2 linked regions of the Coturnix japonica genome follow. The protein of the gene in region 2 interacts with the protein of the main gene of each other region in a pairwise test. Links are inferred from orthologs where the notes say so. Each region holds a gene or a part of one and is shown on either strand. Other genes may lie near its edges.

Region 1 (9,406 bases), on a different chromosome or scaffold from region 2:
CTTCTGATAATTTTGCTTTTTTCTTGGAAAAAGAAATAGTATGTTAAGCATCAATACCATATTAAGCCTTAAAAGACAGCAACCTCTTCTTCCATGTAATTTGTGTCCTAAGAACAATTTATCTAAAAAATTAACACACAGAGCTGCCCAATCAAACGCTATGAAACAGCAAGAATGGCCACATCAATCCTTTATGCTATACCAGTGTTTGAACAGTATACTGAAAGAGTTTGAGTTTAAGTGCAGTTACTGCAGTGGTCAAAGTAACCTTTAAATTAGCCCATCCAGCTTTGGAAACAAGCTGTATTTAACAGCACTTTTCTAAGTTAGTACCTGTCAAGACCCATGTACAAAGCAAACCTCTCCAACACTAATTTAATAACTAACTGCTCACTTCCAAGGCAGAATGAATACACTGAAGCAAAACAGAACTATGCAATCTGACTGGGAGTGTACCTGTGGTGTTTTAGCTCCTCCTCCACTTGCTGGTCTCTTTGTAGAAGCATTCACGATTTTTGTATCCTCTTCCTCGTCCTCTGATTCTGGTTCTTCCTCTAATGCTGATAAAATGATGGCAATGTTTAAAACATCCACCTTGTTAACAATAGCATAAGCAAGATGACACCACTCAAGCTCACAGATCCTCAGGCAGCAGTGGGAACTTCCCAATACCGATGCCTCCTTATAAATAGCAGACTGCTTTAGCATCAGTGGCATGCAGGTTTATTACATTGAGTTGTAAAAATCCCTTTGTTTTGCAAATGAATGAATAGTTTTGAACATCAGTAACCAGAGCAATACATACCTACAAGATGCTGACCGCTGACATAAACAGGCCCCGAACCACATTTCAACCTCAAAACAACTGGTGGTGTGATCTCAAATCCACCTAGTGAAACCTAAGGGAGAAAAGCAAAGTGTGTTCAACAGGTAATCCATCCAAATTAAACCAACTACGCCAACATCTGGAGATTAATAACTTAACACACCAACCACACTCTTCAAGCTGAGAGAATATTCCAGAAGCATTTGGAATTAGTTCAGGGTCAAAGTGCAGCAATAGCACTGTTTTTATAACATGGTGATGGTGTATCATAATTAAAACATGCTTTTTAAAGCCAGACCAATCCACAATTGTCTTTGCATGTGGGTGCATCTATATGTGATTGTATAGGACAACATGTAAAATTAGTACAATATATTAGTAAAATGTAGTATTTTTAAAATGTGTAAATTGACTCAAAGCCTGTCAATTGCCTGTGACTACAGCAAGCCAAGGAAAAAAAAAATATATATATATATATAGATTTAGCTTGTATTCACTACATCTGTGAATCCACTAAGCACTATGACAGATCAATACAATTTGGGCAGCCTAAACCCTCTTCTAATATACCCACCTCACCTGAGACCCAATTTGTAATAGACTGTTCCAAGTCCATTTACTTACTGTAGGCTGCACAGACATTTTCAGAGATGCCAGTACTACTTTAGTAGGGTTGCCTTCGTAGTCCAGTGCTTCTGCTTCTACAACATGTAATTCGTCTTTGGCTCCAGGCCCTAATGTAACCTGTGAAGTAAAGAACAGTGCACATCCTAAGAACACTCTTCAGTATCTGAAGTCCTTTAAATTGTGTTTGCAGTTCTGCACACAAAGATTGACATTTGTATCTGCGAATACTAATAGCTGAGTCACACTCCTCCCCAAAACCACCACCTCTCTTCCCATAGCACTCGCTTGTACAGTGTGTGATTCCAGACAATTGGTGTAGTGAACTTATAGACTTATTGCTTTCAAGGAGGAGGGGGTGTCAGTGACAAGTCCAGACAGCACCGTAACAGTCCCATGTGAAGAAGCACACATACATGGCTACAGGAAGATAAAACAGCTGCTATTATTACCAGAGAAACACAGCCTCGATACTTTTCCCTTCCTTTACAGCTACTTCTCTGTCAAGTTCTCACTGCAACACCACACTGTGTTGTTTACTTTAAGTTCAAGGAGAGTTTAAGTCTCAGCGCTGCTGAGTTCAGAGCTTTTCTTTTAGGCACGAGCCTTCTGCATTAACCCACCAAGTACTGAGCGCTGTCATCCTAGTGCATCTCAGACTCAAGTACCTTGATTCCTTACACCACATACAAGACAGGCACGTTCCAATAACTTGAAAATTGTAGCTTGAAGGTAGCAAACAAGTGACAGACATAAACCAGGCCAGAAATTCCAGTTTTCTGAACCTCTGGCATCTGAGTCAGAGTTATATGCAAGTCCTCTGAAAACCAAGAACTTCCTCAAGTACTACAATTATCTCTGAGGCAAGCAAACATGGCTTACTGCATCCCTTCCCAACAGCCATGAGAAGAAAGCTTCTCACTCTTCATGAATTAAGTGTGTAAGCACTTCACAAAGACAGTGGCATGCTCAAGCTTCCATTCCCTATGACATGTGTTTTAAGCAAGTGATCACAATCTAGGCAAAGCACATCAAATGAAGACTAAGAAACAGGATGTAGGCTCCACTACATGAGGCAATGTTTTATCATGTGAATTAGAAGCAGTGATATTGGTGCTCTGATCTCACCTCTCAAATGGATCCGCACTACAATCAGCTGGTGGGACTGCCCACTAGGATGAGAATTTCATTTTAAAGCATGTCCTCCCTGCCCACAGCTACCTACCCCTGCCATCTATACCAGTTCAACCAATATTATAGTAACTAAGATACATTTCTTTACTGAGTGGCTGGCAGGCATCCATTTACATGTCTTGCCTTCTACACCAAAGTTAGACTAAACAATAAGGGGAAGGAGGCAGCAACCACTCCACTAGCTAAGTGAGCCTAAAGATGTAAGTTAACCCTCATACAACTTTCTACCTCTACACACATCAGTGCTCCTCCCCTTTCATTTTCATCCTTCTTTGTCCTCCCTTCCCCTCCCTCCCCAGCACAAATTCAGCCAGAGACTTAAATTACACGTGTCTACCTTTATTCATTTATACTTTCATCCTGAGCACAGACACAGTGTTTACAAGAGTCATGCTTTATCTTCCAGAACCTCCTTACCCTGCTTAATAAGCCATCTCTTCCTTGTAGATTCTTTTAAGAGATGCCAAGCTTAAGACATTACTAACCTGTTATTTCAATCCCCATCATTCTTTTTGGTCATCTTTTTAGTTTAAAAATCATGCTGCTGAATAAGACTTTTTTTCCCCACATGGGAAAAAATGGCCTAAAACTACATTCTGCTAAGCATAGAATCTGCTCCATGCTCAATGAAGACCCCCCCAGTCCATCAGGAGATGCTACAGCTCACTTCTAAAGTGAGAATCTTTAGACAAATCCACACAACTGAAGTATCACCATGTGACAATTCTTACTTTGTTACAGCCATACAGGTATGAGAACCACCTGCATCAACCTTCTCAAAGAACTTCCCTCAAAACAAACTCTAAAGGGCCGACAATTGTGTCTAAATTGCTCGTTGTCAAGTCCAGACTGTAATATCCGTGAAACAAAAGGGTGAAGACGTGACTCACACAACTAATGTTGAAGTGAAAGCATCCTAAGTATCGTTCTGATAAGGCTGTGCATTGAACAACATTAACATCCAAATCTCCTGCAAGGAGCAATTCTCACTTCTAGCTTAATTTTTTCTTTTACATTAAGGTGTAACCTTCATGTTTAAATATAAGTGAAAATGCAGAGGCACCACGACTTCCTTGGCTGGGAGCTACAAACTCATTGCAAGTTAAGTTGCATCACCTTGTATTAGTGATGAGGAAAACAACACAAGCATGCTCAGCCTTGAGCCAAGGCCCCAAAATACTGTGCCCTGCTCAATGCCACAGGCCCCAAAAAGATCCAAGTCCACACATTATTAGCAGTTTGTGGGGAAAAAAGCCCAGAAATTACAACTGGGGAGTATATGAAAGATCCATTTCAAAGTAAAGTTCCTGTGCTCTGCTGCAATGTGCCCTCTATGATTAATCTAAGTCTTCCCCTCCTCGTGCTCCTGGAACAACTGAATATTGCACTCAATGTCAGCTCCAACTCTCGATTCCTTCCAATAAACATTTATTAACTCACTGGACATAGGTTACCATATTCTCAAGCTTGTATTACTTGTAATAGCCCACAAAACATCGGTACTTATTTAAAGATAAATCAGTTCAATGCAGTGAGTTTACACACCACATTGGCCTTCTCACAGCAACCACGCAGCACTACTTGAAAACCCCACCTCAGAACTCGAAAAGTAGGAAAACAAAAGCTACTTACCGTTCTCAAGGACAACTGATGCTCGTTCTCTTCATCATCTACTTTGAACTGATACTCCTTCTCCGCTTTAAGCTCACAGCCTGTAATGAAGAGTGAGCAGACGACAGAGAACGATGAGCCTCATGGCCAACCTCCCCCGTTACTCCATAGCCCCAACGTTTAGGACACATCCACGTTTAGGACACGTGCTGTGTTAGGCCCAGACCTACGGCCGACCACGCGGCCGCTCTGCAGGCCGCTCCCCTCCCGGTGCAGGCCGCATCTCACCCCCCCCCCCCCCACATACTCCATGTGTGCTGCAATGGCCGCAGGTCCCCGCACGCCGCTCCACGTGCTCAGGGTCTGAGGAACAAAAGGGCCGCATCGCCACCACATACGGAGCGGAACCGGATCGGAACCGGAGCGGAACCGGAGCGGCCCAACGCTCAGCGCTGCCCCGCGGCCTCCTCCGCCTCCTCCCACTCCAATGCGGCCCAACGGGAGCCCCCTCAGGCCCAAGGCCCAACCAACCGCCTCCACCGCGCCCTACAGCCCCCAGCACAGCGTGGGGAGCCGATCCCGTTACCGAAGAGGAAGGTCTGCGGGCGCAGCGGCCCCATGCTCTCCATGTCCATAGCGCTGTCCTCCATGTTCTCGGCCTGCTCTCTCGGCTGGATCTGTGCACGATGCGGCGCGGCGGGCGGACAAGCACTAAAGGAAGCCCCGCGCCCGCCCCCCTCCTATATATAGCCCGCGTGTTCTCGCGAGATCCTCGGCCGTGGAGGAGGGTCGTGATTGTGGTTGTGGGTGATGTAAACGGGGCGGATACAAAATGGAGGCGGTGTGTGGGATGTGATGTCACCCCATTCATTTCCAACGTGTCCTTCGTGCTCCTCATCCCTGTGTACATGTTCTAACAGTACCAACCGGTCCCGTTACCAAATCCCGTTAGCAAATCCCGTTACCGAGATGTACAAATGCAGTGCTTTGTGCTGGGACTGCTAAAACACCACAAATGTGGTGTGAATGAGGATTAATTTATTAGGGCTGCATGGACCACGAGCTGCATCCATTGCAGTGTCAAATCTGAGCTTGCTAAAAGGCATTTTTAAGTTAAAGGGGATAAAGATAAAGTGTGTGCTGCTCCACATGGATGCAAGACAAGAGCAACACCTGACCCACCATTGCATTTGCTGCCCACCATGAGATGGATGCCAAGCAAATTCGGTTCCTTTAAGCTGGTCACAAAGCCAGATGGGTATGGAAAGACAGGAGAAGTCTAGGGGGAAGTTCTTTACTAGGAGAGTGGTGAGGCCCTGGAACAGGCTGCCCAGGGAGGCTATGGATGCCCCGTCCTTGGAGGTGTTCAAGACCAGGTTGGACGGAGCCATGGGCAACCTGATCTAGTAAAGGTGTATGTTTGGTGGCCCTGCCAGGCAGGGGGGTTGGAACTACATGATCCTTGAGGTCCCTTCCAACCCGGGTCATTCTGTGATTCTGTCAAATGTGATTCCCTGTCAAAGGGAAGCAGTGCAGCCCCAGAACGTTCCTCTTCAGACCGAGTCACTTTTAATTCAATTACACCCATCCATTACCGAGGAAATAAATGCGGGAGGAAACAAAGGACAGACGCAGGGAAGCAAAAACAGGGGTAGCAAGTAGGAGATATATGCTTACTGCATCTCGTTTGGCTCCATGGGGCTTAAGAAGGGCTGTCATATATCACGACATTTATTATTCCTTCCATGTACTAGGATGAGAAGTCCATTACAATATCGATCATTTTATTCTGCTCAACCGTATGCCATCTAATATTCAGCATAGCTGAAAAAGCTTAGGAGTGATTTAGAAATAGCTGCACTGGGAGAAGTGAGGAAGAAATCGGAGTCAACGTGGTTTCCCTTAATGGAATTCTCTTTCTAGGAGGCTTTTACAAAACTTAGGAAATCACATTTCGAACACGGTTAAAGCCACAGCATGGCTTATGTTACAGACATAAGATAGATTTCCTATGCAATCTCAGTTTGCATGCTGATGTGATGATACAACCTTCGTGTACCTGTCATGTACCCCTCCACAGTTCGTGCCCTAGAGAACTCCAGGGGAAGATCTTAAAAGGCACCAGAACTTACCCTTCCTTGATGTCAGAAATAACACCTACAGACCTGAAAGTCCATGTGTTTCCATTGAACTGAGTGACACAGGTGATGCTGTCACTAGGACACTGCTATCAGTACCTGGTGGCATCCCAGCTCTGAACTGTTCTGCAGCCACGGATCCTCTCAGCCTCACCTCCTTACTGCAGCCTTTGGATCCTCTGATCCTGTCATGGGTGGCACTGGGAGTTTTCTTTGTTCTCCTTTAGTATATAGTCTATTTCATGCAGGCTTTGCCTGTAGCACGTTGTTTATGCAGAGCAGCCCAAGGCCTGCATCAGAAGGTCCTTCAGTGCTGGAGAAAGCTGTGTGCTGGAGGGAAGCCAAGGGCGGCTGATAACCAAGCCTGCATGCTAATGGCAGCATCTGCTGCTGCTGCTCCATCTCCTCTGAAGCCTCTCATTTTGCTTCCAAGGGATCCATTATTTGTTAGGGCCCCATTTCAGAGATCTGCCTCAAAAATGGAGGAATATCCACAAAACAGACACTCAGGTGTCACAAAGTTACACAGGTAAATCACACCTGGCATTACTATCAAGGCATTAAAGCCTGAGCTCACCCGAAGTTTCTCCTTATTTCTTTATTAAATACCCTAAAAGCCGTTCCAGTGTGTACAGAGCCTAATCATTTGGAATGAATGAGCCCTGAGCACGAAATAACTGGCTCAAAGTTAGTCCCTTTATATAAAGAAAGGAATTTAAACTGTACAGTGAGCTTTTGTGCATGCAGACAAGGGTCAGATATGGCTCTGCTCATGCCCAGATGGGTTTATGTGCCTGGATCTCGTATGTGCTCAGATCTCACCAAATGCCCTTGCCCCATTAAAGGGTCTGCAGTGCCTCCCACTGGGTTCTCATTTGCTGTCGTGTACTACTGCTATATCTGCTTCCAGCTGCCAACATTACTCTGCTTGTTAAACTAATGAACCCAGTCCTGAGGTGATGCTCCACATCGGTGCAGATGTGCGTGAGCTCTCCTGACCAAGGCATCAGTCAGTGACCAAAGACGTGGAGAGTGGAGGGGACAGATGGCACTCCACATAAAGCAGCCTGTTCTGGTGGTCATTTTTCACTGCTACTTATTCTGCTTTGGTTTTACAATAATGCACTCGCACTGCTTCTGCGGGTTCTGAGTAAGGGAGAGCTAAAGCTGCAAGGTGGGCCCACAGAGTGCATGTGTCCAGGTCCTGAGTTTCCTGTGTTAGATGCACTCTACAGCTGCATCTGAATATCAGGACCCCAAGGATGGACCCATCTGCTGTTCAAGAGGCAGATAGGGTGCAGTCAGTCCGACACAATGATGGGCTGATGCTCTGGATAAGAGCTTCAGGAGTGAAATTTCATCCTCTCAAAGCTGTCTGCTCTCGTATTAAGATCAACAGCACCACCTAGTGATCCCAAATCAGCTTCTGTTACCTGCCTGCCTCATCCCCTGCGTTTCATGCGTTGCTCCAGGTCTCCCAAGGTTTCCCTGTTTCTCCCCACCTCCAGCACTGATGCTCGAGGGTTGCTTAGAAGAAGGTATTGCACGGTGGAGGCTGGGAGCACTCAGACATAGACCTCCAGATTGAGGATGAGGTGATCCTAATCAGCTCACAGACCAAGAAACACCACTGAGCTGTGAGCTGGACCCCATTTGGGGGTCCACAGCTTCCACATTCAAACTAAACCTCTTGAGGGAAAGAAATAGTCTCTCCTTATTCATCCCTTGGTTCTCTCCTGGGCTTGACCTTGCCCACATGTTGTTTAAACCATGCAATGGAAGGACCTCAAGAGCATCAGTCAGAGGCCATGCTTTGTTCCCAAACCCCCACTGGTACGTGATGATGATTTTTAATTATCTCTAAATTATTTCCAAATTTGAAGTCTAAGTGCAGACAGCAGCCTCACAACGAGAGCTCCCATCTGCCTCGTATGGCACTTTGCAGGCTTTGCTCTCTATTTGCAAATCTCTGACGAGCTGCTGCTGAGCTCTCTGCCTCTCCTGCCAACATCTTCACTTTGTTTTGTTAACTCAAATTGTTAACTGTCCTGACACAACCAGATGTACTGCGCACGTCTGTGTGGCTTCCTGCAGGTCCCATCAATTTCATTTACCTTCGTTGCCGTGCCTTTTAACATTTAATTACAAAGCAGTGCTCCTCAGTCATTTTACTTATCACTTGCCATTTCTATCACCTCAGCAAGAGCCCAGAGTCCCTCCAGATCCTTTGCCAGTGGGGTTTAGAGGTGGGAAGGATTGCCCTAGGTGCCTTGTTAATAGCAAGCTACTGACAGATCAATTAGCCCTCAGCACTCCCAGTGTTAGCATTGCTCATGTGCTACTCACTTGCAGGTTGTCACTTGTGTACATTCCTATTTTCATCTATCAGTCATGCCTGGCACATGGCACAGACATCTCCCATGTCCTGGGCACTGCTTATGGTGCAGGGTAGTGATGGAGCTGAGCAGAGGACCAGGTGCCTGAGCTCAGCAGGAATAATGAGCTTCGCAGTAACATCTCCCTTTCATGGTCATTGCACAACCCACCAGCAGGCTGCATCAGGCCTGAGCTAAATGGAAGCTCTCATCAACTGCAAACATACAAGGTTAACTGTCCTGGAGCACGAGGCCAGCTAAGGGAGTCTCAGGCTCATTACACCTCACCTGCTGCCAAACACATTCTTGTTGCAATTTTAGGCTCCGATTTCACTCTCAGGTGGGCAGGACCCTTATTTAGTTAACAGCTGGGAAGACTGAGGGCTCTTGGGGCACTCGATAAGTCCATGTCCATGCGGAGGGTGTGGGCTCAGGGTTTGAGTTTGGATGCCTTGCACTCTTGTAGGAACGCCAGGCAGCTGGGCTGTGCGCGCAGGCTGTTGCTCATTAGTGGGTGTTGGAGCAGTGATGCACTGGAGGTGTCTGTACACGAGAGGGCACTATGAAATTACAGATGGCAAAAGGAAAACGTATCGAGTTAGTGAAGCCGGGGAAAGACCTCGGCTATGAGAAGGGAT
Region 2 (9,190 bases):
TCTTTGATGTTATTTTCCTCCTCTTCTTCTTCCATAGTGTCTTGATCATCATCAGTTTCCATTAAATCTTCTTCCTCGTGGCTTATTTCCAAGTCCTCCCACTCCGATTCTTCTTCTTCCACCTTATCTTTCACTATTTTCCCATTAGTCATGCCAACTGCTTGGAAAACAATGCTGCTTGCTGGGCTGGGGTACTTTAGAGCTGGGAAATACATACAAAGCTGTCTGTTACATCTGCTGTTTGCATGAGATACGATGTCTCCCCATTAAAAGGAAATTATGTGCATTTCCACATAATCAGGGAGAGAAAGTAAGAACAAGAAGATTGCCATGGTGAAGAACTGGGTCCTGAGTGTAAGATGTACAGAACAGGAACATATTTTGTTGGTCTAACTTGGAAATGGGGCAGGGTAAGAATGGGACAGGGCCCATAAGCACTGGCTATTTAGAAAGGTTAAATCAGATAAGCAGAAACTGCAAATTGCTGGGGTAATCTAGCAGGGGTGATCTGTGTTAAGGCAGCACCCGAGTCTGCTGTGTTGTTGCATTGGAACCCATTTAATTCTCTAAAGGTTTGTGTTGGCTGCATGTAGACAAAACAGTTGTGTAAGTCCCAGGACAGCTTCCACTCGTGGTCTCCTATTACAGCTTCTACAACAGCCCTTGGTGGTAGCTGTGCAGTACCTTGAACTGTGCTGCTGTTTTCTTCTTCCAGCTTCTTTAAATTGAAGCCCACCTGCATTTCAGCTATTTTGTCTTCTGTCAGGTATGGCGGCAGGATCTGAGATGGGGGTGGTTCTGAGTGGTAGCTTATTTTAGCTCTGCAAAAACCAAAGATAACGTGGTCAAATCACCGTACTTCAGAATCAAACCCAGAGCCCACGCCTTCAGAACTCCTCAGCTGAACCACTCCTCCCATATTATCTGTTTAGCAGCAGTTAAACGACTGTTTAAGTTGGACTCAGCAGCTGTCAGTAACAGAATTAAGGATGGCCTGCTCTGAAGCACCTGAACAGCCTCAGCAAGTTCATTGCAACCTGTTCATCACTGGTTCTGAACTGATCCCTCCCATGCTCAGAAGAACACAGGAATCACTACAGGTTCAAAAAGGAAAAAAAAGTTGCAAGATTCCTTCTTGATGGAAGAGAGCACAACAGGAACAGAGAGCAGGGCCAGTTCTCCTCGTGGACTTACAGCAGGGCTCAGCAAACCCAGCCCAGAACTCCCCAGAATTTGCTTTGACTCTGTCTGTATTTTAGTATTTTAGCTAATTAGCCTTGGCTGCTGTCCTCTGTTGGCTGATCCAGTCTGACTGCTCCGAACAGCCACCAAAACTTCCCCTCCTTCCTGGAAGCCGTTCTCAGGACTCAGTTCTGCTGTCTGGTCACAGCAGATTTAACAAGGTCAAAATCAAAAAGCTCTGCAGCATAACTCAGAACTGGTGACATACGTACCCAGTCCAGTCACAAAGCAGTGACTTAGCCATGTTCTCTATGTCGGGAACGCCCCCTTTTTTCAGCATGCCCCTTTTCTGAGCAAGTAAACTTAAAAACTCTTCAGTGTTCCTGAAATCTGGGATGCTGTAGAACATCATCACCTAGAGCAAAGAAAGCAGTGCGGGAAGCGGTTATCACAGAGCTGGAACGGGGTCAGGCTTCTGTGAACATACTTGAAACCATAGAGTGAAATCAGAGTTGGATCTGAAGTCTTCATTGTAATAAGAAGCAATTAAAGTATCTTCATTTTTCACTCCATGACATCGTTGCCTGATGATACATTTACAGGCAGGTGCTTTGTTGGTGGATTTTTATTTTTTCTTTAAATCAGTGAATTCAGTGGGAAAACAAAGCAGCTGACAGACCCTGCTGTGCTGCTGCCATCGTCCAGGTACAAGGGTGGATGATCACACAGCACTGGATACACCCAGCCAAAGTTTGGTTAAAGAGAAGGCAGAGCAGAAGAACTATCCAAAGTGAAATGAACTTCCGTTATTGGCCTAAGAAACCTAGAGAGCAGTTGTAGGCTGTGGAAGAATGACAACAGAACTTACCTGCTGCTTATTGCAGTGATCCAGAATGGCATCTACTGCTTTCACCAGGTTCACTGAGCACAACTCCCCACCGTGTATGATGCTCCTCAGGGCCATTGTCACAGCGCTGTTGGTACGGTCTGCAACTATGCTTGGACTGTCTAAAATCTTCAGCTGTTTATCAATACGCACAACTTGCATGGACCTGATCAGAGAGAGAAACAGGCCACGTCTGAGGACAAATCAAACAGCAAAGGACTGAAAACAGTGAGGGAAGTGAACCACAAAGCTCAGCATTGGATTGAATGCACTTCATGCAGAGTCAGTTTCAGTGCTTTCTCATCATGTGCTTTGTGCTGGACAGAAATCCAAACGCGCAGTAAGAGCAAGTTTATGCATTGTATTCTCTTGTGGCAGCTGGCCAGGATGAACGATAAGGTTCTGAATGCTGCAGATTGAAACGCGCATTTAAAACTGAACTTAGGCATGTTCTGACTGCTCCTGGCGCACAGAAATTGTATACAACCAACTCAGGGTAATAAGGACAGGAAAACAAACAGCTGTTAACTCAGCTTACTTGGTGACACCTCTGGCTGGCCCAACATCACAAACACGATCTTTCTTAATGCTATTGATTACGCTGCTCTTCCCCACGTTAGGAAATCCTGGAAAAAAAGCACAAAAATCCTCGTAAATAAGAAAACTCAGCTTATTTACCAACTGGTCACGTGTTTCTGATCACATACATCTTCCATGTGAGATCAGAGTTGGATCTGAAGTCTTCATATAGAAGTCAGACAACGTCTGTATCCTCATTTCTCACATTTGCAATAGGAAGGATGTGAAAAACCTCACTGAATGTCACACCACAAACCTCACCCGATGGGAGGAGGAGGCAGTGGAGGCTGTGCGGTACGTAACTAAATCTGCTTTATCAGTTAAGGCCTCATAAAATGTGCATTCCACGGGTCACATACACTCTGCATTAAAGTACTGGACAGATCACTATCAGCTGAGGTGCTGTGAGTCTCAGCTGTAAATGAGAACACTGCCTACAAGACCCAGAAGCGAGTAACATGTTGGTTGTTTTACGCAGGATACCAGAGCTGTAATGGGAGGAAAAGGAAACTTCTACCATCTCTCCAAAGTCTTACCTACTAACCCAACCTGAATGGCTTTGTTCTGCGTCCTCCCGTACTCCTGAAGAAGTTTCACAAGGCACGTGCTTCCAAAGCTTTCAGTGTGTCTCGATAAATCAATCCGTGCTCTTCTTCTCGAGAAAGTCTGCTACAGGATTCAAAGGAACAAAACAAACATGGCAGAGTCTTACGTTTATTCATCTACTGTAACACGTCCAGCTCCTGTGCTTCATTTGCTGATGTTACTGTGTCAGGTGAACATTTCGTAGGACAGGTGAAGCACAATAATCAAATACAGGAAAAAGGAATTTTGAAGCACAAGAGATCCTGCTTCAACGTGTTTCAACACCTACAACTGCAGACACGTATGATTCAGTCACCTGAGGCAGCACACAGAGCTCTTACCATGTTCCTGTCCTTCAGCAGCGTCGCTGATTTAAAGGCAACTGTTGGAAATTCCTTCTTCAAATAATTCAACCACTTCTGTAAGTTTTCCTTTGGCACTAAATCTGGAAGAAGAGCACAGCCTTCTCACTGCTGTGAATGTTGTGTTGCTGTCTGGAGAAATCTAACGTGGAATCAGAAACCAGGATCTATTCTGTCCACTTGGTACATTTCTCTATGAAAACTGACTGAAAACTCCACGGCTCTTGTATTTATTTTTATGTAAACTTCCAGTGAACTATGAGCTGAGATCCCCAAAGGCACCCAGGGCTGCAGCTCCCAGGGCTGATTTTCTGCCCCAAGTGGAATGTACCACAGTTACGTTTTCAGACCCTTTGTTGGGGTTTTAATTTTGTAGCATCACAAACAGAGGCTGCGTGGTACAACGGGTGATGTTATGGCAGCAGAACCTCAGATTTCTGCACAGCTCACATAGAACAGAACCACCCAGCAACTAAACTTGAAGAAAATCTGCTTCTTACCAATTTTGTTCAGAACCAACAGTAGCTTTTTTTCTCCTCCAGAGCCAGCAACAGCTTGTTCCAGCTGGGGACAGCGACAGCCCATCGGATCCCTGGCATCTAAAACCTCCAGAAGCACATCTGACATCTCGATCACCTGCGTAAGGGGGAAAAATAAAGAGATTTTAAGTTGTTTCACTGCTTCTCATTAAATTACATAAAAACAGCTGAAGCATCTTACTTTCTCAAGCTCACTGTGAAATGACTTCTTTGCATTTTTATCCAGATCCTTCTTGGTCTTCTTTGCTTCAGATTTGCCAGAGGCTTCCTGCAAATTAAAGCAGAAAAGAAATGATTTAACTGAGAGTTACTGTACTGTATTTGTGTGCACACAGCCTATAGAGTCAACACAACACGAGACCAGTACAGGTGTGATTCTAGGACAGTATCTTTTGCTTCCACCAGCTTCAAGTCCTGATAATGGCAGCAGGCACCAACCTTCCCCTCGGTCTGTTCCTGGGCTGCAGCCGTGCTCCTCTTGGCGTCGAGCTTCCTCCTCCTCTCAAGCTCCTTCTGCCTTTCGAGCTTCTGCTTCTGCTTCAGTTCTTCCAGCTGATGGCGAACAAGGAAGGGGTCAATGCGGGTAAACACGTGTGCGGGTGGTGCGGGATGGCACCCTGCTGCACATGTGAACTGGTCTGTGTAAGAGATGCCGGTGCAGCTCAGCTGGACACACACACACACACACACAGATGGACACACACACACACACACACACACACACGGTCCCGCCTTTACCCGCTGTTTCCTGAGCTCGGCCTCCCTCAGCAGCTCCTCCTTGAACGGCGCCGTTCCGGGCACCCCCGGGTCCTTGCGGTTCTTCTTGCGGCCCCGTTTCTTGGCCTCTTTCCGCACCTTGCGGTGATGCTCCCGGATCTGGGCACACACACGGTCCGTCAGCGGGTCCCTGCAGCCCCGCCCCGCCCGGCCCGGCCCGGCCTCACCTTCTTCTGGATCTTGTACCGCTTGTGGCACGTCAGCCGCTTGCTCGCCTTCCTCAGCTCTAAGGAACAGCGCAGCGCCCGTCAGCCCCGCTCGGCCGCAGCATCCCATCCCATCCCATCCCATCCCATCCCATCCCATCCCATCCTCCCGTTCTATTCCATCCCGTCCAGTCCCGTTCCATCCCACCCCGTCCGTTCCCCCCGCTCCTCACTCGGTCTCTTCATGGCGGCCTCGTTCTCCCTCACGCGGTTCCTCCGTCCCTCCCCTTCCTCCCGCCGGTGTTGCTGCCGTAAAGCGAGGCGGCTCTTCCTGTTGGAGGTGTCGCGCTGCCGAGCGCGCTTTGCGGCCGGTCGGGCTGGGCGGCGTTGCGGGGCGTCAGGCCGCGTTGTGCGGCGCGGAGCGGAGCGGGGTCGGCGCCGTGTGCGGGGTGAGCGGCGCGGCGGGGCCGGGGGCGGCGCGGGTCGGGGTGCGGCGGGCTCCCTTCGAGTGCACGAGCGGCGCGAGGCGGCAGCGGGGCCGCCGTTCCCCGCCCCCACCCCCGTCGGGCCCGTCCCCGCCCGTTCCGCGCATTGAGGCCCCGCTGTGCCGGGGCCCGGCCGCGCTCGCGGGGTTCGGTGCCGTCCGAGCGGGAGCGGCCTTGGCCTTGTGGCGACCCGCCCCGACACAGCGCTTGTTCCCGCCGAGCGGCCCGTACTGTGCGGTGCTGTGCGGTGCGGTGCGGTGTGATGCGATGCGGTGCGGTGCGGTTCGGTGCAGTTCGGTGCGGTGCCCGAGCGCTGCGGGTTGAAGCCGCTTCCCCCGGGTTCGGTTCCGAACTAAGTTGTGTGAACCCAATGGTCGCGGTCGCTTTGCCACCGAACGGTCCCGTACGCGGGGCGGACAGTCGGCCCCGCACGCAGCTTGTAAATGGAAGCAGCTCTGTCTGTATGGGAGCCGTGTCCGGCCGCTCATCCCGACAATGATCCCGGTTCTCTCGCAGACATTCGTGGTTGTTGCGGCTGGTAACGCTGCTTGTGCCCGCACCAATTGCCGCCCTGTTGTGCTGCCCCGCATCCCCCGTTCGTGCCGTGCAGCTCCGCTCAGCTGTGCGCTCCCTGCTCCGCTCGGCGGGTCGTTGCTGTTCCGGTGGCTGTTCAGTACTGACTGCTGAGAAACGGATCAGAAACGAGGTGCTTTTTTTATCAGTAACTGTGACAGAAACGCCCCGTGTCCTGCACCCAGCGCTGCTCTGGGGGCTTCCTGCTAAGGATCAACAGCAAAAGTTACCTCCTGTTTCTTGCTTTGTCTGCCAACTTGAAATCCTCCGCTTATTCTTTGCCGTGAATAACCCGTCTGCTGTCAGCTCTCTCCTCTCTTTCCTTGTTCTTGTCTTCCAGCTCTGGCTGTACTAACAGCACTGACCTGCTGCTCTGGGTGTCCCCTTCTCCCACTATCTGTGCTTGCCCACCAGGCACGATGAGGAGACTGGCTTTTCGAGGTGCTGGTTGTACTCTGGTAAATCTGGTAAATTATTGATCCAATGTACACCACGCTCTCCATTCTTCTGCATTAAGGCTTTCCCTACCTGTTTATTATTCCTGCCTTGTTCTTATTCATCTAATTTGTGCTCCAGATTAATTCTGTTGCTAGCGTAAATGCTCTCGTGCAGTCATGTTGTACTGCTGTGCCTTGTAGCTCCCCAGCAGATTCCTTGACTTGGTGTAGGCTGGGGTAGATGGATCTGTTCTGTCCTTTGAGTTAGCTACAAGTGGAGGTGTTGTTATGGTGCTGTCACCAACCTGGGGAAGAGCCAGCAACGTGATCCATAATGTCCATAGCTGCTGGACAGTGGCTGTTCATTTATGCTGCTGGACAGTGGCAATCCATTTGTCACTGCTACGTTGATAAAATAGAAACTGTGACCAAAACATTAGGTGGATTTTTCTGCTTCTTGATCACAGAATCACAGAATTACCCGGGTTGGAAGGGACCTCAAGCATCATGTAGTTCCAACCCCCCTGCCTAGCAGGGCCACCAAACATACACATTGATGATTGAGCCATTCATTCATGTTACACACGAGCTGGGAGTTGTCACACAACAACCGAGCCCTTTTGTAGCTTGAATGTAAGGCAAGGTATTCAGCAGCAGTTCGTGTTCTAGGTGGTCATTTGTCTTTTTCATGGCATCCTTGTCATTTTTTTTGTGTTGGTTTTATAATTTGAGACAGAATGAAGTGCTTTTCTCCATAAGACTCTTTCCTATAAAGCAGTTCTCATATAGGAATCATGCATGGCTCGAGGAACCAAAATGTAAATGCTTTCAGAACGTGTCCTGGTAAATCTGCTGAATCCATCTTTGTGTCTGTCAGCCCTTGGTTCCTGATGTTGGTGTTGGTGGTGGCAGTGTAAATCTGCAGGGCCATTTTGCCTTCCCTTTACTCCCAGTGCACGTCTGGTGTTTGCATGTGGCTTAACTGAACTGTGTATATAGGAAACACGTGTGACCCATTGCAAAACATAGCTCACTTAGTAGCTCGCTCCCATCAGAGGGTTTGGTTGCAATGCCAAGAGTTTAAGAACATTTCTTTCATTATAGAAGAAGTTGGATTCCATGGGTTCCAAGAGGCGAAGAGCAACCTCGCCGTCCAGCAGCGTCAGCGGAGGAGACTTTGATGATGGCCACCACTCCACGAATATCCCGGGCCCCAGCAGGAAGAGAAGGAGGCTTTCCAATCTCCCAACCGTGGATCCTGTTAGTACCTTCTTGTTACACACACCTTTATATTTTTCTTGTGGGTTAACTGTATTCTTGTCCCGGAAATGCTGGATTGTGAGATAAAAGTGGAGAACAGCTCTTCAATATGTGCTGGAATATACAGTGTCATTGTTATGTCTTTGAGTTAGCGGTTTAATTTTAATAGGACCTCTGTCATGGTTTTACATGTCTGTAACTCAAAGAGCGTTGTCCTAAATCAGTCTGCATTTGGAATGTTCTGCTTAGGGTTAGTATTGAAAGAAAGTTCACTCTATTAAATCAGACAATACAAAACAAAAACCAAACAGCCAACCCTAACATTCTGCAGTACCTGACGTGCTACGTATCGCACTAATGCACAGCGTGCACAAGTTCTTCACTCATTGCACATGAGCAGCTTGCCTTCCCCTTCTTGTTTTAAGCTGATCTTGATTTTTTATCTCTTCCAAATCTACTTATTTTTTCTTGCATTGTTCTTGAATTTTAGATTGCTGTATGTCATGAACTTTACAACACCATCAGAGATTACAAAGATGAACAGGGCCGGCTGCTTTGTGAGCTTTTCATTAGAGCACCGAAACGAAGGTGAGGCCGTGGTTCTTGTCAAGCCTTGGATTTAAGGAATGTTTCAACATTAATTACAGTTGAAATATAAAAAAAAAAATCATCTATATTCATCAGAGTGTCACAGCAATGCGTGATGATGTATTTGTTGTAATTGTTTGGCGGTACCTGCTGGTTTAGTTGTCTCTGTATCTAAACTTTCTGCTTGGAATATAATGCCTGGTTTTGTCATTACCACAGAAATCAACCGGACTATTATGAAGTGGTTTCCCAGCCAATTGATTTAATGAAGATCCAACAAAAGCTGAAGATGGAGGAATACGATGATGTGAATGTTCTGACTGCTGATTTTCAGCTTCTCTTTAACAATGCAAAGGCGTACTACAAGGTGAGGAAAATAGGTACAAAGGCTTGAATTTATTGATGATGGAAGTGATAGGGACACGCCGAGGTTCTTGCTTGGTTTGGCAGAAAACCAAACTTTCTGGCTTTGCCTTTAATATTTGTAAGAGGGCAGCATGAACTTACTGCAGGTGTTTGTGTATTTTTCCATGATGTTGACCATATCTTTGTGAGATGCCTTGCTACAGCTGCTGCTCTGTGCGGATACTATAAAATAACCTGGAGACGGTCTTTTTTTAATTTTTTTTTTTTTTTTATTTTCCAAAAGAGAGAGAAAGCAAAAACCACAACAAGAAGAAGAAAACCAGAGGAAAAGGCCTGATTTATTAAAACCTCCCCGTTTTGAGATATCCTGTGTGACCTTTTGGAAAAGGACTCTATTTTTTTCCTCCCTAAAGCAGGAGTTTATA

The links.
Region 1: the proteins of GNL3 (region 2) and NPM1 interact in a two-hybrid assay, tested with the Homo sapiens proteins (2 studies listed by BioGRID, with this or other methods). The link is inferred for Coturnix japonica from reciprocal best matches to the Homo sapiens genes GNL3 and NPM1.

What each region holds. Positions count from the first base shown.
Region 1 is NC_029528.1:13,567,512-13,576,917, reverse strand, and holds the start of NPM1 (nucleophosmin), read right to left. Parts: upstream 4,992-9,406; 5' UTR 4,906-4,991; coding exon 4,842-4,905; intron 4,357-4,841; coding exon 4,277-4,356; intron 1,571-4,276; coding exon 1,451-1,570; intron 900-1,450; coding exon 806-899; intron 561-805; coding exon 457-560; intron 23-456; coding exon 1-22. UniProt on the Homo sapiens protein: Involved in diverse cellular processes such as ribosome biogenesis, centrosome duplication, protein chaperoning, histone assembly, cell proliferation, and regulation of tumor suppressors p53/TP53 and ARF.
Region 2 is NC_029527.1:378,186-387,375, reverse strand, and holds the start of GNL3 (guanine nucleotide-binding protein-like 3), read right to left. Parts: upstream 5,386-9,190; 5' UTR 5,303-5,385; coding exon 5,290-5,302; intron 5,137-5,289; coding exon 5,078-5,136; intron 5,010-5,077; coding exon 4,872-5,009; intron 4,686-4,871; coding exon 4,572-4,685; intron 4,402-4,571; coding exon 4,315-4,401; intron 4,231-4,314; coding exon 4,095-4,230; intron 3,678-4,094; coding exon 3,574-3,677; intron 3,317-3,573; coding exon 3,184-3,316; intron 2,851-3,183; exon of another isoform or gene 2,778-2,850; intron 2,695-2,777; coding exon 2,607-2,694; intron 2,388-2,606; exon of another isoform or gene 2,310-2,387; intron 2,235-2,309; coding exon 2,051-2,234; intron 1,749-2,050; exon of another isoform or gene 1,676-1,748; intron 1,598-1,675; coding exon 1,455-1,597; intron 822-1,454; coding exon 685-821; intron 203-684; coding exon 1-202. Other genes in the region: PBRM1 (protein polybromo-1), read left to right, coding at 6,534-6,581, 7,656-7,811, 8,302-8,399, 8,619-8,766. UniProt on the Homo sapiens protein: May be required to maintain the proliferative capacity of stem cells. Stabilizes MDM2 by preventing its ubiquitination, and hence proteasomal degradation.